Linked DNA regions of Alligator mississippiensis. The protein of the gene in region 1 interacts with the protein of each later gene in a pairwise test. Links are inferred from orthologs where the notes say so. Each region holds a gene or a part of one and is shown in the gene's direction. Other genes may lie near its edges.

Region 1 (9,659 bases):
GCAGGGAAGGAGCCCAGGGAAAAGCTGAGAATGGGGGGAAAGCAGCCCCTCCCCCGCCCCATGCCTGGTGCCCCATGCTGCAGGTGCTCACAGCCCGCATGGGGCTGTCTGGAGCGGGCACAGGCAGCCCCATGCAGGCTGCAAGCAGCTGCAGCATGGGGCACTGCGTGTGCGCGGGGAGGGGCTGCTTCCCCCCCCGCAGCATTCCTTCCTTGCCCGGGGTCCCCGCCCCACTTACCTGAGCTTCCCGTGCCAGGAAAGCCACATATTCCCAGCCCAGAAACTGCAGCTGGGGCTTCTGGCTGGGGGGCGGGGCCAGGCGGCCCTGCTGTTGTTGGAGCCCGCCGGGCTTGCCCTGGGTCCTACTGCCCTTGGTTCCTGTCATTTTTGACAGGAACCAAGGACAGAGAAATATTAATTTTCTACATTTTTTTAGGGACCCCGTGGGCCAGATAGAATGGCCTTGCAGGCTGGATCTGGCCCACGGGCCGTATTTTGCCCACCCCTGCGATAAATAGATTCAGTTTCTGGCTCTTGTATGGAATCATACATTAACATTTTAACTATTTTTCCAAGTATTTGTGTTTTCCCATTTGCAAAATTAAGACAATACTGTTATATTCCCAGATAAACCATACCAAATAATTTTTCAACAAAAATAATTTCACTTTCGGAGCAGGAATTTGCCTTTATGACATGTGGCTTCACCTCTTTGGACTGCACTGTGTTGCTAGAGCCTCTGAGGACATTAAAGTCTCCAAAGCACAAGAGGATCCCCACTTCCCCTCTGTGCTCAGAGCCACGTCCCCTCTCTTCCCATCCTCTTCTCCTTCAGTTAGTGCTGCTTTCGCCACTGTCCCCAGGGTGCGAAAGCTTCAGAGCTGCTCCTGCCTACTCCAACTGAGCTGTTTGGGGCCTGGGCTCACCTACAGCAGTGATAGTGGCAATGGCTTCTTGTGCCTGCTCCTAAGGGAAATGGGCAGTGTGGGGAAACCCACCCCTTTTTCGTTGCTGTTGCCGCTGTTCTTAGCTAAGCCCAGCCACCACACAGCTTGGCTGGAGAGGGAAGGAGCAGCTCTGAAGCTTTCCCTATTCCCCAGACCTTGGGGAAAGCAGCAGCAACTGGATGAGGAGGGGTGGGCTGGGGACATGCCTCTGAACATGGTGGGGAATGGCGGGATGCTTACCTGCTTTGGGAACTTAAAAAGTCCTGAGGCTCCCACAGCATACTCTGCCCACTCTGGTAGGTAGCAGGGGAAGAGGCTGAGCGCAGAGATGTGGCCACTCTTGCACCTACCTTTGCCAAATCTTGGATCCACCCTAGAATAAGATAGAACCAAGGCTGTAACAGTAGTTTATAGGAGTGCTGGGAGGCTAAACTCATTAGTCTTTGGATTTTGAATCCTTGGATGGACATGAGTATAGAAATGCAACATACTAATCTTTCCCTGTCCATATTTATATTCTGAAAATGTGGAAAGTTCTGATACAGGTTTCCCTCAATATATGCAGTAAATGTGTTTTTGGAGTACAGTGCATAAATCAAATTTGCATAAAGTGAACCCACTTTATAATGTAACAAATAGGAATACATTCCCATGGTGGTGAGGGAGGGAGGGAGTGAGGCTGGGACTAGGAAAGGGGTGGGGAGAAGGGTGCAGCGCAGCCTGTTAACAGCTCCTAGGGCTGCAGGAGGCAACAAAGTGGCAGAACTGTGAGTGGTTAAGGCATAGGAGGGCACAGTTCTTGCTGCTACGTACCCCCTGGGAGGGCTGCACCGGGCTCTTTGGGGTGGGGGGCAGGCCCCTGGATCTGCACATGGGACAACAGCAGGCTGCCACTGCAGGCTGGGGCTGGCGGCACCACCGGGCTCTCCCCAGCGCTCAGCGGGCAGGTTGGGGTGCTATGGCAAATTTTGGGGTGGCAGCAGCCCTGCTACAAGCACCGCTGCTCACCTGGAGCGCTGGGAAGAGCCCGGTGCCACCACTGCCCCCAGCCTTGCTTGCAGGAATGAGGCAGCAGCGCTGGGAGGGGGGATGCTGCCACCACAAAATTTGCCATAACTCCCCCACCTGCCCTCTGAACACCAGGGAGAACCCGGTGCCACCGCCAGCCCCAGCCTGCAGCGGCAGCCTGTGGTTGTCCCACGCACAGATCCGGGGGCTTGTGATCCCCTGGGAAGAGCCCAGTGCAGCCCCCCCCAGCCTACAGCCTTCCTGGGGGGGCGCATAGCAGCAAGAGCTGTGCCCCCCTGTACCCCACACCCACTTATAGTTCCTGCTGCTTGCTACAGCCTGGGGCCCCCACTTCTCCCCACTCATTCCAGCTGCTGCAGCAGACCCGGGAGCAGCCGACACCACCTGCCTGCACCACGGCATGGCACAGCGCAGCCCAGGGGCTGGGGTGAGTGGGGACAAGCGGAGCCCTGATCACATAAGAGTGAATTTACCTCACATATAAGGAATTTTGGGTAGAAAAAGGGTGATCGCATAGGAGCAAATTTGCATATATGGAACCCTTATAAATGAAGGGAAACCTGTATTTCAGGGCCCAGCTCATAACTGCATGGGTATGTCTGTCTTCTGTATTAGTCTCTACACAACTGCTAGCTGCATAGATGTTACTTGAAAAAGTGTCTTGGGGTGTATGAGTGATTGTGTTCAGAGACACTAAAATGGTTGTTGGCTTTAGAAAAGCAAATCCAATAGCCTGTTGTATAACAGGATCAGACACTGTAATGAGCTTATTCTGTGAGTTAAGAGTTCATCAGCCGTACTAATTTCTAATGTAGGACAATGCTAAATCTTACTTCACCTTGGCAGTGAGCATTTCTTGAATGCAAACACTGAAGAACAAGATGGATTTGAATCTAATCAGACCCATATAACCCATATAACAGTTGAACACAATTTTAGCTGTTTTTAAAGGTTATCTTATCTCCCATTTCTCAGAATAGTAACAGCTTCCCCCACTTTAAAATTTATACTGTTTTGATGTAAGAATTCCCTTTCTTACCAAAGGACTGGAAAAAAGAAAAAAAAGTTGTCCTCTGAATTTAGTTATCTTTTACCACCTGTGTTATACATATTTTTTATAAAAGAAACATAATTTCTTTTATTTTAGGTATGTTACCAAAACTTAATAATAATTCTTAGCAGAAAATAAATTCCATCAAAAAAGGCTAAAACAACCATATGATCCAATATTTTCTTATTTTACTACTGAATTTCCAATCAATGAGTCTCCTAATAATTCTTTCAATTAGACGCAAGCAGGGTAAAAAAAACTATTTTATATTATTTAGTGAAACAACTTTGTTCATATTTAGGTTATACTCAAAGCCATGGCATACATTATGAGAAATGTAAAACGTGTTTACTTGCTGTAGGACAATAACGCTTTGATGTGTTCCTCCACTGTATCCTACGACAACAGAAATTTCCAATTAAATTATTCCTTTCTCTCTGCAAATTACTAACTAGATCATCCTGTGTTTTAATGCCAAAAGGCTTGAAAGTATATTTTTAATAGTTCTCACTGGAGTTTCAGGAAGATTATTTTACACTGATTTAGTCCTTCTTAACTGAATATACTATAGGATATACATTTTCCCATTAAGTATATTTCTTTCTCTGCATCTTCTACACACAGTTTTCCCAAAAGGCTTGTCCTTCTATCTTTGACAGTCCATAAAAAAATAAATGATGCATAGCAAAGTGCTTGGGGAGTTCCTTTCTGAATAACATCAACTTTCAGGAACAGCTGCTAAGATCAGATAGACAACTAGAATGCACACGCGGTGCCTCTTAAAGATACAGGCATGTAATCCTCCTCTCTGGACAAAGAGAGTCATCCAATCTGTCACCATCACTGATATATGTCTTCTATACAAGTCTGTCCTAGTTTTCTCCTCCGAAACAGGTCTGAAACAAACAGAATCTGCAGTATAAAGTCCAAAGTCTTTGCTATTACTCTTTAAGCCATAAAATAATAAATATCTTGCATACTGTGAAGAATGATCTTCCTGGTTTAAATTCCTTTAAAAATGTGTGTATATATTCTTTTTTAAAGAAATATCTACTGCTATGGTGGCCAAAAATATACAAAACCAAAACAATAGCAAATATTTCTACAGTATCTACAAAACAGTAAGGTTGTGCTTTCTCCAAAAGGACTGAGTTTACTAGCCTTGTAAAAATGTTCTTGTCCCCTTGCCTGGAGGAATCTTTTTGTTGTTTTTAAATCAAGAAAGGATCCTTAGCTTTCTATCCTGATGGTAACTGGTAACTGTTGTGTTTAGGAGGGTTTTTACGTTAGTTTTGTAAGGCGGATGTTACTTTAGCTACAATTATGCCATCTACCGACTGATTTTTGAGCACGTTCTTGAGCTAAGTCAATCCAAAGTACATTCAGTGAATCGCAGTCATAAGAATTCTTGTCTTTAGGGATATCAAAGACGGCAGCAGCAGCACCAGGGTGCCACCACAGCACCAGCAACACGCTGGCCCCATAACAGCCCTGTGGGAGAAAATATTTGGGGGGCTGAGTAAAAGGGTGCCCACCTGCACCCCACCCCTCTCTCCCACAGGGCTGTTGCGGGGCCAGCGTGTTGCTGGTGCCGTATGTGGTGCTGTGGTGACACCCTAGTGGTGCTGCTGCCGTCTCCAGCTGCTACACAATTAATTTGGGGGAAACTAAGCCCCGTTAGCTTCAGCTTTCTGCCATCTATGCTGCTGTGGAAGTGCTGGTCCACAAACAAAAGCAACATTGAATGTTGCCTCTCATATTAAAAACACAGGGAAAGAATCGGTGCTTGACAAGTTCAGAGAAAAACCATGAATGTCACATTTACAAAAAAGGGCATTGTGAATAAAATCACATCACCGACTCAGTTCTCATCTTTTAAAGCTTCTGTATCCCGTTCCTCTCGCATCTTTGCTTCCAAGGCTTCCCCAGCGGTAAGAGCAATCCCACCCACCAGGTGGACGGCTTCGCTCCTGCTTTCCCTGCCGGTGGCCTGCATGGCTCCTCCTCACACACAGGGCGGGCCTCCAGTCTCGGGCAGGCCTCAGACCCTGCGGGTCCGGCCCACCTGGGAGCTACCCTACCTGGTTGTGCTCTCCCCTGCCCATCCAGCTGGAGCAGGATTTCCCTCGGGAAGGCCGAGAACAGCCCCTTACCCTGGAAGGAGCTGAGGAGTCGCGGTCAGGAGCAGGGGCGCAAGGAGATGCCGCTAGGTAAGTCAATACAGATCACAACTAAGCTCCTGCCTCGTCTGCCTGTGTCGAATTGAACGCACTTTGCCACGAAGGCAACAGGCTGCTGAACTGGAGACCGGGCCCTGTTGGGGAAGTGTTCGCCAAGGCCGAGGGGGCAGGGCGGCCGCGCCGCCAACAGGCACTGGAGCAGGGAGGCGCGGGCTCTCGCCTGCCTCCGGGACCGGGCGAGGAAAAGGGAGGCGCAGCGCGGGCCCGGCCCGGCCACGTCTGGTCCCCGAGGCAGCCCCTCCCCGCCTGCGGCAGGTGCGTGTCGGCCCCCGGGCCCTTGTTGCCGGCCTCCTAGCAACCGCGCGGCCAATGGGAGCGCGGGGGGGCGGGGCCGGGCCGGGCCGGCGGCACCCGCGGGCTCTGGGCTGAGACTCGCCTCGCCTAGTCTGCTGCGCGGGTGAGTGCGCGCGGGGCGGGGCACGCCACGGGGGGCGGGGCGTCCAACCGTCCTCCCCTCTTGGCACCGCCCCCGGCACGTGCGCCCGGGAGGGGGAGGGGAGGCTGCCCATTGCTGCCGGCCCAGGGAGGAGCGGGCTGCGCCGCGAGCCCCTTCGGTTCCGGCTCCTCCAAGACGTCATTGTGCTGGGCCCCATGTGTGACGTGGGCGTGACGTAAGCAGGGCGCGGGCACGTGGCGTTTTGGGGGTGCCGGGGGGAGGCCGCGCGGCGAAGCGGAGGCCGCGGGACAGGTGGAGCAGGGCTGTGAAGCGGGCGGGGCTCGGCTTGCGGAGCACAAAGGTCTGGGCCTGTCGCCAGGTGTCGGAGGCGCGGGAGGGCCCCGGGGGGGACAGCCGAGCGCCTTCCCTGGAGCTGAAAGGAGGAAAAGCTCCGGGTGCCGCAGGGCTGCGGGAAAGTTTGCACTAATCCGGGCAGCCGGGCGGTCGCAGCACAGAGGATAACTGGCCGCCCGTTGCAGAGCCGGCTGGCGGAGGGTGTTGGTGGTGGGGAGATGTGTGTGGCACCTGCGGAGTTGCAGACCTGGCTGCAGCCTTGGCAGGATTCATTTCTCCAGCAGCAGCGGAGCGAGACGAAGATCCATGGTCTGTGAATGGTAGGAGGCAGCAGGGTCGATCCTCGAGACCACGGGCGCCGGCCGGCTCCATGGGTGCTCTGGGGCTCAAGCATCCACTGAAAAAAATTAGCCAGTGCTCAGCATCTCCAGAGCTGCCTGCAGATGTTAAAAAACCCCAACAAACAAAACTCCCGGTGCTTTATGGGAAGAAGCAGCACACGGCTTTAACCTGGCTCTACAGCGTCTGTAAAGATGGAGTGCTTCAGTGGGGCTTTTTGGTGTTTTTAGCTAGAGGTGATTCAGTCTTTACAGACCGGGTAGCAGTAACACACTGCCTCTTCTGGATATGCATAGGGCTTGGCACGGGAATGGTCCTGGGTAAAAGTAAAGAGCCATTTTTGTTGTTGTTTTTATGCCTGCAAGCACCACCAGCCACAAAAAAAGGTGGCACCTATGCTCGAGGCAGTAGGGGATGCAGCGGCGCCTAGTGCAGGTGCGTGGCACGGGTAACTCCACACCTCCACACGTAACATCAGTAAAGAAGTGGAGGATATGCCTTGAAAGTAGTGGGGCGGGGGTGAGGACTGTAGTGAAGCAGTTGTCCAACTGTTAAACATATAAGTGACTTAGCACAGATATAAACTTGCAGATTTCTTTTGTGATTGTAGCTGTATTACAGATCAAGACAAATAAACCTCTTATTTGTTAAATTAGTGGAACTGATGAATACAACTAGGAGCCTTCTAGCAAGGGTGTAATGTACTAATAAACTAAATGAAGACTATACAGGCCTGCAGGCTGGACAGATTAGGACTTGTGTTTTCCAAATTTACTTTGGAGTTGACTAGGTTAGTTTGCTATGTCAAACTCCTGAATTAAGAATACTCGTAGAATGTAGAAAAGTGGTGGTAAAATGTAACCCGTTACCCTCCAGGATTCATATAACTAATAATGCTCAAGTAGGATCAATTTCTACAAACTAATATAGAGTCTATAAATCTCTAGAATTCATTCTGTCCATAGGTAGTGTCACTAAAGCTATAATGAAAATCATTATTTAACATTATTTTTAACATACAGAGGTGGTAATAATTGTGAGCCACATTATTAAAATGCCTGTAGCAAAAATAGCAACTGTCAGAAATGTGGAGGTGGAGGGAATACTTGGATTTTCAAGGTTACTGCATAAATAAAGCAAATGAGTTGCTTTTTATGACATTTTGAAGGATAGATGTAAAAATGTAAGCTAATGACTACCAGCAGGGCTCAAATTTACATAGAATCTATTTGTTTTGTTTCATCCAGATAGCCATCTGTGGAGGCGATTAATAGATAAATCTAAAAACTTTAAATAGGTTCACAGCTCTTTTTGGAATCCAATCTTAGCAGAAGGACTTGTATTGCATTTTAAGTAAATGCTTACCTTTTGTGGCCTTTATATTCTCTGAACAAGTTTTTATATACTTTCAGAGATGTAATTTGCAAGTTGAAACACCTTTCAGCAAAATTGTAGTGTCTGCTGTGTTTGGTTGGAAGACTGGTTCTTGTTTCTTGGTTGATATAGTGTTGTCCCTTTTAAAGAGCTGTTCTACATCAGAAAAAATGTAAGATGCATCTGAGAAGAAGATAAAAAGCTAATTTGGGGGCAGGAACATTTTGGAGAACCATGTACTTTATTTTTCATTTGTGAAACTGTCCATGTAAGTTTTAAATGATTATACTACAGTGTGTTTATCTTCTGATGAACATGTGGCTGAACTAGTTTTTAGAATTCAGTTATGTTGATAGCTATTTCTATTGAATTTAAATCTGACATTCAAAATCTATGCTTTGAAAAAATAATGGTGTATGTGTTGTTGTTGGGCTTGTAATTCTATTACATGTGATTTTTTTTTTTAAATTGAACACTTAAGACCAATTTATTACAGGAAATCTGTCTGACTTCTATTTTAAATCATAAAGCAATGATTTGCATTAGGAAGGAAACAAGAAGATAATACCATTTTAGAACATGCTGATACGTTATTGCTGAAAGGAAAAATATGTTGCTCACCAAATCGTGTAGGGGCTTAAGGGAGCATATGGTAGGTGTCTACCAGAAACCAGGTTTCCTAAATAGAAAGAGTATTTTTTCAGAGTCTAATTCCAACATGTAATTAAAATGGCAGATTATTCCAGTTTCTTAGCTATTTCTGCTCTGGTGGATTGATTACTACTTTTTGGACATCTGCCAAAGCATTCTTTGATCTAGGATACAGTTGAATCTTTCAAGATTTTTTTTTTTTTTTTTTTTTTTACCAGCAAAGAGTATGAGTTTTTCCATCTGGTACATAAATCCCGCCCCCCTGGAACTGAGGCCTAGGTGTACATTTTTGGGAATTTGCCTAGCTTTGTTCTCTTCAGGAATTTCTTCAATGGAACAGCAAGTGATATTGCCAGCTGGCAAAATTACATCTGACAGTTACTGGGACACTGCAGGTTGTAGGCATATCATCAGAGCTGTTGGCTTGCAGAGAAAAATTAGCTTGCAAATAGTAAGGCTTGAAATACAAAATCTTTGAGCATCTGAAGCCACAGTGGCCATTAAGTAATTCTCTGTGGTCACCAAGTGATTTCCTGGCACCACCAAGTGATTGATCCTATCAAGCACTGGACCTGTCTGCCCTGCACCCACAACTTGGGGTCCTGGCCAGTCTCTATGGAAACCTGCTGGGCTGCTCTGGCGCCCCTGGCACTGAGTGCAGGGCAGACGGGCCCAGGGCCAGATAGGATCAATTGACCCTCCTGCCCCGCAATCACTGCTGTGCTGGGCCAGGCCGGGTTAACCCTGCCCCCTGCTGAAGCTCACATCTCACAGAAAGTCCTTAAGTGGCCTTCCAGCCCAAATCATTTCCCACTCTGGTCTTGCAACATGTTCTGAAGGTGGACAGATTTTTTGCAATGAGCTTCCAGATTAGTTATGCCAAATCAAGCCACTTTAACCAAGAACATTGCTCTTAGGCTCTTATGTATGCTCCAGAGGAGCATAGCTGCATGGGAGGATGGAGAGATGTTTGGGTTTCAATCTGTTGCTGGCTTTAAAAATCAAGACCAGGGACTTGAACTGTAATATTAGTTGAATGGCATCTAGCAAAGAATATGAACATGGAAGTGTTATGCTTCTGGTGGCCCTTCTTGTGGATAAGGTGGATTGCCACACCCTTTTCTTCCACTGTTGGTTCCAAAGACAAAAGTTTAAACCATGTACAAAGAGGTGACACTTGTGGTGAAATACTGTCCATCCTCAAAAACAGTTATTTCTCAAAAGCTAATCAGCTGTCCTGATACAGTGTAAAAATCACAGGTGTGTTTGGTTGGCAAGCTAAAAATTTAGGAGGTGCA
Region 2 (9,899 bases), about 190 Mb from region 1:
TCAAGCGCATCAAAGGCGAAGCCTTGGTTTACCTGGCTGCCGTGACCCAGTACCTGACGGCCCAGATCCTGGCCTGGGCCGGGAAGGCCACGCGAGGCAGCCAGGACAGAGTCATCGCCCCACGGCACCTGCAGCTGGCTGCCCTGCAGAGCAAGGACTTCCGCAAACTGCTGCTGGGCAGCAAGACCGTCTTCCCCGGCGGGGTCCTGCCCGGCACCCGGGCCCTGCTGCTGCACGCCAGGACCCAGCCGTGCTGCCGGAGCAGGGCTCCCAGCCCGCCGCCGGGGCAGGACCGGGGGGCCGTGCCTCGCAGGAGACATAGCAGCCACTTTGGATGTGTCTCCTCACAGCCGTCCACGGGCTATTAAAGGAGATAAAAGCAGCCAGGCTGTGCATGGCAGGGCATGGAGAGGAGCAGATAGGCAGCCCGTTGCCTGGGGGGAGAAACTCTGGCTGGGAGCCGCCCAGTGCTGGCTCTAATCCTGGCTCTGCAGGCCCCCTCCATCTCCACTCCCATCCTCCTGGCTGCCTGCCTCTGTGAGGCGATGGAGGGCTGCTGAGGGGTCCCTGCTCCCACCCTCTCTGGGGCCTCAAGTCTCACGCCTAGAAGATGTTATCCAGCCATGCTCTGTTTGCCTGGAGCCTGAGTGGGACACAGGCACTGTCATCCTGCCTGGGCTGGGCAATGCCCACAGCAGCCCGCCTGCTCTGGAGTTACCTGCCCCTTTCCCTTGAGGCCAGACTGCCTCCGAGACCTCGAACAAGGAGGCCTGGAGTGGGAGAAGCTCACAGTGCTGGGAGCCACTGCCAGTCACAAAGCAGCCTGGTGGGTCATCTAGAGCACTGGGCTCAGTCCCAGCGCCGCGTGGCAGGCCAGCCTATAATACCCAGCTCCCATGCAGAGCTTTCCTCATTCAGGCCAGGTCAGACCAGACTGCAGCCTACATCCGAGTGATCTCTGGCTGTTGCAATGCCTGGCTGCTCAACATCCAGTGTGCAAATGCCCCACAGCCACTCGCTACCCTGGCACTGGTGTCAGAGCACAGGCATGCAGGGGTTTCAAGTCTGAGGCATTCGGGCATCCCGGCCATCTTCATCTTCTTCCTCATTCCCGGCACCCCTTGTTGGAGGATCAGGGTGGAGGTTGGCCTCACCTGTCTCCTTAAAGCGCTGATAGTGGCAGACTAACAAATGCTTTGCTTTGCTTACCCTGGGTAGCATGGGTACATGGGGTAGATTTCCATGGCCACGAAAGAGCCTGCAGATGGGATGCCTGTGATCATGCCTTTCTGCTCCATGGCTTCTCTCTGGATTTGCCTGGGGGCTCAGAGAGGGAAGGACATCTGTGCAAGGCTGGATGCTCACACTGGGATTCACCTGTGCATTGGGCTGGGTATCTGTGCAGAGTTGGAGCAGGCACTGCAGAGGGGGCTCCCACACACCTGTTCCCCTGCTGTGGGGAGGAGCAGATGACAAGAGCTACTGGAAAATGACCTGACCTGGCTAAAAGGTCTTGCCCCTCTGCTCAGGGTCAAATCAATGCCCTATGGAGTCAGGACCGGGGACAGGCCCCATCTGCAGACCCAGGGAGGGGGCAGCAGTGCAGCCCCTGGGACAGCCTGAATGGACTAGGGACCTACTCTCTACCCATGGCCAGGCCAACAGCTGGGTGCCCATGGCCCACGCGAATGAATAAGCAGATATTTAACTGCTGGACTCTATTTTCTGTTGGCTAATATAAGTGGAGACAGTCCACTTTGCCAGCCAGTGGCCAACGTCTGTGTTCAGTTCTGAATGGGGGCCGAAGTTTTCATGGACCAAGAACCAGGCCTTTTTTTATAGGGCTGATCATCCCACACAGGCTGAGCACCTGCTTGGCCCACCACTGCTGGGTTGTGGAGTTAGACGTGGTTTCCCAGTGCAGGACCCTGGGTTCTGCTGAGGCTGGAAGTAGCAACGGGTTCCCAACAGCCCCGGGTGTCAGCAACGGGGTCCATGCTCAATCCTGTCCTCTGTGTATATATTCAGCCATTCCCCAAGATTTGCAGGGGTGGGGGGCAGATGTGCACAGCCCTACAGCATGTTCCCTGCTTGGCTCAGGGAGAAATTAGCCCAAGAAGAAGGGAGGTAGAGGATGGTGGGAACACTTGTGACCTGCAGTGAATGAGCAGGAGCCCGCGTGGCTGCTTTGTCCTATCCCCTTGGCGTTTCAGAGGTAGAGAAGATGCCAGCTTGCAGGTGGCAAAGGGGATTAATTAGGGATGCACCTGATCAGCAGCAGGCCGGGCTTGAGCTATATAAGCCCTGGGCCTGAGAGGGGCTGGGTGTGTGATCAGGGGATGCAGGCACACAAAGCAGGGCTGAGAGAGAGCAAGACCAAAGAAGGTTTAAAGACAAGAGGAGTGTCTGAGTGTTGGACCTGGATGTTCAGGAGCCAGGCAGCGAGTAAAAGTCAGACCAGATGGTCCACAGGCCCCGAAAAGGGCTGAGAGCTGGACTAGAGGGTCCACAAGTCCAAGAGGGGCTGCGAGCTGGACCGGAGGGTCCGAGAGCCCAGAGGGAAGGGCTGAAAGTATTGAGGAGCCTGGCAAGGGGCTAAGCAGGAGGGACCTCAGATGCCACCATTGAATGATAACATCTGCGAGGCTTGGGGTGTGGTGTAGGGCAGAGCGGGGCCAAGCAATTAGCCCTTTAGGCTACTGGTGCCCTCCAAAGGCACGAGCAGGCTGAGAGGGCCTATCAAGCCTGGGGGGTGAGTTGAGACTAGTATGGCCCCTTTGCCAGGACCGAGGCTCACTCTAAGGCCTGTGGGCAGCCTCCCTTAATCAGCCTTTAATGAGAACAAGACATGGCATCCAGGGAGGGTGACATTAGAGTCCAAGCCGGGCAGGAGCCACACAGCTGCCCCGTGGCCTTGAACTGCTACAGAGGGGGTTTGCCGTGCAAGAAAAGCAGGGCGCAGGGCAGCGGGACAAGGGTGAGCCTTGAAAAAAGCCAGCTAGGTCGGAGGTGCAGCAGCCGGCTCTCCCAGCACAAAGCAGCAATGGGATGTGCAGCAAGCCCTTACTCCAGCCGCATCCTGGGCCCTGCATAGACCTGAAGTAAAAACACATGACGAAGCCAGTGGGAAGGAACGGACTAAGCCTGGGGTGGGGTAACAGCAAACCAGCAAAGGCATGAGATACGGTGTAACAGCAAGGGGCGAGAAAGGCCCCTGGGGGAGGCTCTCTAGATTAATTTGGGAGAAAGAGGAAGGCAGAGGGCAGTGAAGGTCTGGTACTGATGCCAAGGAGGTATTTGGGGCATGCTGGGCTTCTGTCCAGTCAAAAAGGCTAAGTTAAAATGTAATGTTAATGAGGAGATAAGAGTATCGGCCAGGAGGGGAAATAAACAGGTTAAGGAGCCTTCGGTGCAGTCGGGTCAGCAGGAGCTGATGAAATCCTCCCTCGGGTAGTCAAAGAACTAGTCCAACTGATCTCTGAACCCGCAGCGATTATCTTTGCAGTTGTCCCAGACCAGGGGAGAAGGGCAAAAAACACAGTCCCTGTTTGTTTAAAAAGGGGGTCCTAGCAGCCTCGGAACCAGATGAACAGAAACGAGCCATTCATGGCTCAGAGGATGGACGGCAAAGCGAGCTTTTCAGGTTTGCAGATGAGGCCAAGCTCCAAGCAGCCCCAACTACATCATCCCAGCCCGGGCTGTGTCGAGCCGGCCCTTAAAAACCTCCGAGGATGGAGATCCCAGCACCGCGCTGGGTGACTTGTTCCAGTGCTTCACCACCCTCCTAGTGAGAAAGTGTTTCCTAATATCCAACCTAATCCTCCCTTGCTGCAACTTGAAACCATTGCGCCTTGTCCTGTCTGTTAGCAGGAGCATTGTGCGTGCGACACTGGAGACGATCGCTGCACTCTGCGGGCCTCGCTGTGCCCCCGCTTCAGAAACAAAGAGAGTGCCGGCAGTCCAGAGCAACAAGATGGACGGGGGGCTTCAAATCAAACCAGCTGGAAAGGTTGAAGGACCTGGGATTGTTTCGTCTGGAAAAGAGCTAGAAGGAAGCATGCGTAAAAAAAGTGTATTGTCAAGAGGACAGCCATCGGGGAGGAGGGACGGCGGGGGACACGCACAAAACTGGGTGAAAACCAGCGCTCCAGACTAGTTACCGGTGGTTTGCTGTCAAAGCAGGACGGCATCTCAAGGGAGGCCTGCCCTGGCCCTGGGTTTATTCAGTGTTTTCACTGAGTAATAAGGATGATGATGAGAGCTTGGGAAATATGGCTGGGAAGAAAAGGCCAAGAAACAGAGTTTTCCTGTGAAAAAAGCAGGGCAGGGGGTATAGAGCCACAGAGAGAATCGTAGGGTAAAAGGGGCTTTTGGGGGTCCATCCTGTCCAGGATCGTCCCTGACTAAACCATCCCAGACGAGTGTCTGTGCAGCCTGCTCTTGCAAAAGCCCAGGGATGGGGACCCCACGGCCTCTCCGGGCAGCCTGTTCTGGTGCTGAACCACCCCCAGACAGGTTTGCCCTACCCCCCAACCTAGGTCTCCCCTTGCCACAGTTCAGCCCATCGCTCCTTGCCCCGGGGCTATGGCCATCCTCCACAGAACAGCCCCATGGAAATGCTGGGCCGGCGTGCACGGGGGGGTTCGCCTTTCACCCTGTGGATTCCTATCGGAAGTCTCGGGGCTCATCGTGTGAACCCCGGTCGCCCACCTAGCAGTGCTAACGCCACGTGGCACCCTTGAAAGGGTGGCAGCCGGGTTGAAGTGAAGTAGGAGGAGGAACCTTTACATCAGCAGGGCGGCAATGGAGCAGGCTCGGGGCCTCTTCTTTAGGGCAGGCTTCGGGGAGCTGCTGAGACACAGGCTTGGTGCGTGGAGCAGGCAGCTGCCAGCTCCGCTGATGGGATTCGTGGGCAGAAGGCACTGCAAAGGGACAGCGGGGCCGTTCTCCTTCCTCGCAGCCTCTCCCCGGGGTGTCTGGCGCGTGCACGAACAACCCTGTACAGCAGCAGGTCGCCGGCGGCTGCGGTCCTCCTGCTCTCCCTGGGGCACGCGCGGGGCGATGCCTGCTGTGTCTGGGCTGGCTGTGTCGTGCTGCTCAGAGGTTGGGCAACGGTTTGGGTCTGGGCTGGTTTGCACGGGGCTCGTCCTGCCGCACGCCAGGGTTGCACCGGTGTCACTTCTGCAGCTCCACGTCTCCGTGCTTCAGCGAATGCAGAACCTTGGCCCCCTTCCCGGGACCGTGAAACTCTTCTCCTCACCTGCCGTGGGGCAGGGGCAGGGGCAGGGGCGGGGGCTTGACGCCTCTCTCAGAGATGTGGAGGGCTGCTGCAGCCCAGGCTGGGGCTGTGCCAGTGCTCCTGCTGGCACCAACCCCGCAGGTCCTGGAAGGAAGGGATTTCCCCCTGCCCAGACTGGTCTGCACTGAGGGGGCGGGAAGGGATCTCCCCTTGCCCGGGCTGGTCCACACTGGGGGGGTTTGCCCCGTTGCACTGGGGCAGGAAGGGATCCCCCGGCCCAGCACGGCGGGCCCGGGACAAAGCGGGCGGCGGCGGCGGGCGGAGCTCCGGGCCCTGCCCCTGCCCCGCGGCAGCGCGGACACACGCGGCGGCGGCGGCGCCTCCGGCCGGCAGGCGGCGCCGTGGTGCGGTCGGGCCGCGCAGCCATGGCCGGGCGCGCCGCGGAGGTAAGCGCTGCAGCGCGGAGCATCCCCGGGCGCGGGGCGCGGGGCCCCCGGAGCGCCCCAACTGCGCCGCGCCGTGCACACGTGCCCTGCCCCGCGCCCCGCACCCGCCTCCCTCCCTCCCTCCCTCCCCGCCCCGCTGCACAGCTGGGCAGAGCATCGCACCCCCTCCCCTGCCCTCCCCTGCCCTGCCAGGTGTCCTCTCCCCCGGGGGTGCTGCCCCACCGCCTCGCCTGCGGCACCCCCTTTCCGTAGCGGTGCGCAGGGGAAGGTGCCAGGTCGGTCCACCTTTGTCTCGCCGTGCCACGGTCCCTCGCCGTCCGCTGGGTTGCGGGAAGCCCTAGCCCGAGGGGTGGGGTATGGACTCCCCCAGAGACGAAGTGTCTGTGCCCGCAGGTTTCGGCGTGTGCCAGGGACGCCAGGCTCCACCGGGCTCTGCAGCCCTCCGTGGTCCTCAAGCGGACGCCGGTGGGAGCCATGCGTGGCCAGCACGCGGCGGGCTCGTTGGGGGCCGTCATGGCCACGCTGGAAGCGATGGAGAAGAAGGTGGAGTCGCACGCGGTGCGCCTGCTGAGCCTGGAGGGCAAGACGGGGGCGGCGGAGGAGAAGCTGGCCGGCTGCGAGAAAACCGTGGTGGACTTCGGCAACCAGCTGGAGGGGCGGTGGGCCGTGCTGGGCACCCTGATCCAGGAGAACCAGCTGCTGCAGCGGCGCCTGGACAACATGGAGAACCTGCTCAAGAACAGGAACTTCTGGATCCTGCGCCTGCCGCCCGGCACCAAGGGGGAGATCCCGCAGGTAAGGACCCCCGGTCACAGGGCCGTAGTAGGGTCACGGAGAAGTAGAGCTCCGGAGGTCACCTCTAATCCAACCCCGGCCTCAGCCCCGTCCAAACCATCCCAGACAACTCCATCATCTCGACTTTGTGTAAGACTGACCTCAACCCTGACACGACACCGACCGAACACCCGAGCCTGCCGCAGGGAAAGCAGGGAGACTGCGGCGGTCAATGTCTCGCCTCTATAAAACCTGCTCGAGAGGTTCTGGGTAGGGGGCTATGCCCCGCTGCGGAGGAAGGGCCCTCCCTGCCCCCAGTCCGCACCCATCTGACCACGGGGGAAAAGAGTCCTTCCTGACCCCAAAGATGTGATTGGTCTGACCCTGAGCAGAGGGGCAAGACCCTCTAGCCAGGAAACCTTGGCTTTGGTCCCGGCAGGAGAATTGGCACGCCCCCGTTGAAGTTCCCACCCTTAGCTGTAGCCAACACCCAGCGCCTCTGGGGAGGCTTAAAAACACCCTGACAACAGAGGAAAAAAAGGGAGTAGACAGCAAAGCCCAGAAGCTTGGGAAATACCTATGGTAGAAAACAGGCATCGCTACACCTAAATTGCCCCCAACCAGTGACAGCCCAGCATCTTCTTAAACGCCTCCAGTGATGAGGAGTCCTCTACCCCGTTTCTGGGGTTTTTAGGCCACTGCCTCACTGTTCTCACAGTGGAAATGATTTTCTGGATATCCAGCCTCAATTGACTTTACGGCCTTATATCAGCCATTCCCAACGGGCGTTTCGTGCATGGCAGTAGGGACCTGAGTCTGCTTTATGCAGCGAGGAAAGGTGGAGGCGTAGTGCGATAGCTGCAGGGTGGCAGGTCGTTCTCGGAGCCCAGCAGTCAAGCTGGCGATGGCTTGGTGCGCGGGCTGCTGCGGCAGGCCTGGGGTACATCTGCACGCATCTCATGCTGGTTGCCACCTCGTGCGTGGCCGAGGTGTGTGGTCTTGAGACCAGATCCCCAAAGGCATGGGGGGTTGTAGTGCTGAGCCCCTGAGGTCTCCAGCCTCATGCTGGGTGTCTCAATGCAGCGCTTGGGGGCAAGTTGCTGACCAGGAGCTCGGTGTGCTGGTTGCTGACCAAACTGAGCTGGAGATGCAACGGGCAGAAGACAGGCTGGAGCTTCGGTACTTACCTGTGCCACCAACATAGCCAGAGATCAGGGCCTTTCCCTCTGGCTGGGTCCTCAGCAGTGACGCCTTTCCCTGCTGTTAAGCAGCTAAACCCAGTTTTTGTCTGAACAAAAAAGAAGTGGAGAAGCTGGGGTGCTACCCCACATCCACCAAAGGCCCCATGGTTAAAGCACTGCTGGAGTGGGGGCAGACAGCTCGTCCTGCTTTGGTGGGGACCCGGTCACGCATGCGTGCGCAGCATTGCATGTCTGTCTCCTGTCTGTGCAGCATCCAGTGTAGGTGGGCTAGGAGCAGGTTGTGCTGGTGACAGGGGGTGGCTTCGTGCCTGGAGGTAGGCAGCAGGCCCTGGGTGGCTTTGAACAAGCTGGCTTTTGCAAACAGATGACCTCAGGGCTGGGTGGCAGCTGGGGGAACCTCTGCAAAATGGGCCAGGGCACCCCGGATGTGTCTCGAGGTGCATTTGGCTCAATTGAGCATGCGGTGAAATGCAGCCCCTCTCTTATGGGCATGCAGGCTGTTGTTGAAGCTGCTGAGCGTGTGACCTCTGTGCTTGCAGGTGCCAGTGACGTTTGACGACGTGTCGGTCTACTTCAATGAGCAGGAGTGGGAGAACTTGGCCAGCTGGCAGAAGGAGCTGTACAAACACGTGATGAGGGGCAACTATGAGACCCTGGTCTCGCTGGGTGAGCATTTTGTTTTACTCCTGTCTGGGCAGCTGCACTTGGTACGGGCTGGCTCGGGGTGAATCTGCGGGGCCTTCTGGTTTCTGGAGGATTGCAGGCAAGACCTGTTAGGCCATCAGACCCACACGACAAATGCGGTGGAAGGGCAAGCTGGGTAGGATCTCGCCTCATGTGCTCTCTGGGGTGAGCTCTATAGAGTTTAGGACTGGAAGAAATTATTGGGATCATCCAGCCCTGTGACGCTCCATCCTGACTCAGCCAGGAACCAAAACACTAGAGCAAGAGGTGAAGTGTGGCAAATACGCTGCAGTTCGAAAGAGAAATAGCTACAGGGCATTAGTGGCCATTTGCATGGTGGGCAGAGATGCGCAGCACATGCATTGCCTCAGTTATGGAGGCAGGAAAGACAGGCCAAAGGCACGTAGCAAGAAATGAGCTTTAGCGTTTTTTTGCCAAGAGCTGCAGGTGATCAGCTGAAGAGCTTGTGGAACAGGAGCCACGGTCTGAGTGTCTCTGACCTGTCTGATCCACTGCTGATGGGGGAGGCACAGCCCCAGGTGAAGTCCTAAGCCTGGGGTTTGTGGTTTGAGTTAGGCCATATCCTGTGGATAACCCACCGTGATTTAAAGGTCTCGCACTGTAACCCCGTCCCACGCTAAAGGCTGGTAAAACATCACTTTGTGCATGTACTCACGCAGAACTCGGACTCGGCTCTAAGATATCCTCCACCAAAGCTGGTCCCAGGAGCAGCTTTACCGTTTGTTTGGTCTTTTCTGAGTGACAGTCCAATGGTTGCTGCTGGGGCACCTTTCTCCAGATGACTCTCCTCCAAGCCAGGCTGGTCCTGATGGCAGCAGTTGCTTTGGCCCTTCTGCAGTCACATAGGTGCCTGGCAGTGACAGGTCAGAAGAACTGCCCTTCAAGTGGTTGTTGAAGCTGAAACAGGAGGTGTTTGATCAATAAAGACAACACCTTCTTTTAAGCTACCTGTTGTCCAGGTGGTAGAGGTTTTGGCAGCCTTGAAGATAACTGAGAAGTTCCAGGCTTGTTCTTCTCTTGGAGCTTGGCCTCCCCTTGCATGTGTGAATCCCCCTGCGAAGGACAATAACATACCTCCCATGCTTTGTTTTGATGTAGGAACCCTAGGGAAATATTAGCATCCGTCCACACTGCCCACCACCTCTGGCCACTGATTTGAAGGGTTGGCCAAAACCCATGGACAGTTCTGCATCTTGAAAGATCGCCCATCGCTAAGGCTGATCAGCATCCTCTCATGTCACTGAATCATAGACAATGAGGGTTGAAGGGACCTCATGTGGTCACATCTAATCCAACCCCCTGCTCCAAGCAAGACCAGCCCCAACTGCATCATCCCAGCCAGGGCTTTGTCTATCCGGGTCTTCAAAACCTCCAAGGATGGAGATGCCACCTCTCTGGGTAACCTGTTTGAGTGCTTCACCACCCTCCTAGTGAGAAAGTGTTTCCTAATGTCTTTCTCCATTTGCAGACTACGCCGTGTCCAAGCCTGACATCCTGTCCCAGATAGAGCGAGGGGAGGAGCCCTGTGTCAGA

Evidence for each region.
Region 2: the proteins of SSX2IP (region 1) and zinc finger protein 777 interact in binary tests that used the Homo sapiens proteins (3 or more experiments, as listed by UniProt). The two-hybrid records come from large-scale screens. The link is inferred for Alligator mississippiensis from reciprocal best matches to the Homo sapiens genes SSX2IP and ZNF250.

Annotation. Positions count from the first base shown.
Region 1 is NC_081828.1:28,254,184-28,263,842, reverse strand, and holds the start of SSX2IP (afadin- and alpha-actinin-binding protein), read left to right. Parts: upstream 1-5,086; 5' UTR 5,087-5,237; intron 5,238-5,744; exon of another isoform or gene 5,745-5,878; intron 5,879-6,062; exon of another isoform or gene 6,063-9,659. UniProt on the Homo sapiens protein: Belongs to an adhesion system, which plays a role in the organization of homotypic, interneuronal and heterotypic cell-cell adherens junctions (AJs).
Region 2 is NC_081828.1:218,303,495-218,313,393, reverse strand, and holds the start of zinc finger protein 777, read left to right. Parts: upstream 1-5,601; 5' UTR 5,602-5,664; coding exon 5,665-5,685; intron 5,686-5,696; exon of another isoform or gene 5,697-5,960; intron 5,961-6,078; coding exon 6,079-6,480; intron 6,481-8,200; coding exon 8,201-8,327; intron 8,328-9,834; coding exon 9,835-9,899. Other genes in the region: histone H2A, read left to right, coding at 1-368. UniProt on the Homo sapiens protein: May be involved in transcriptional regulation.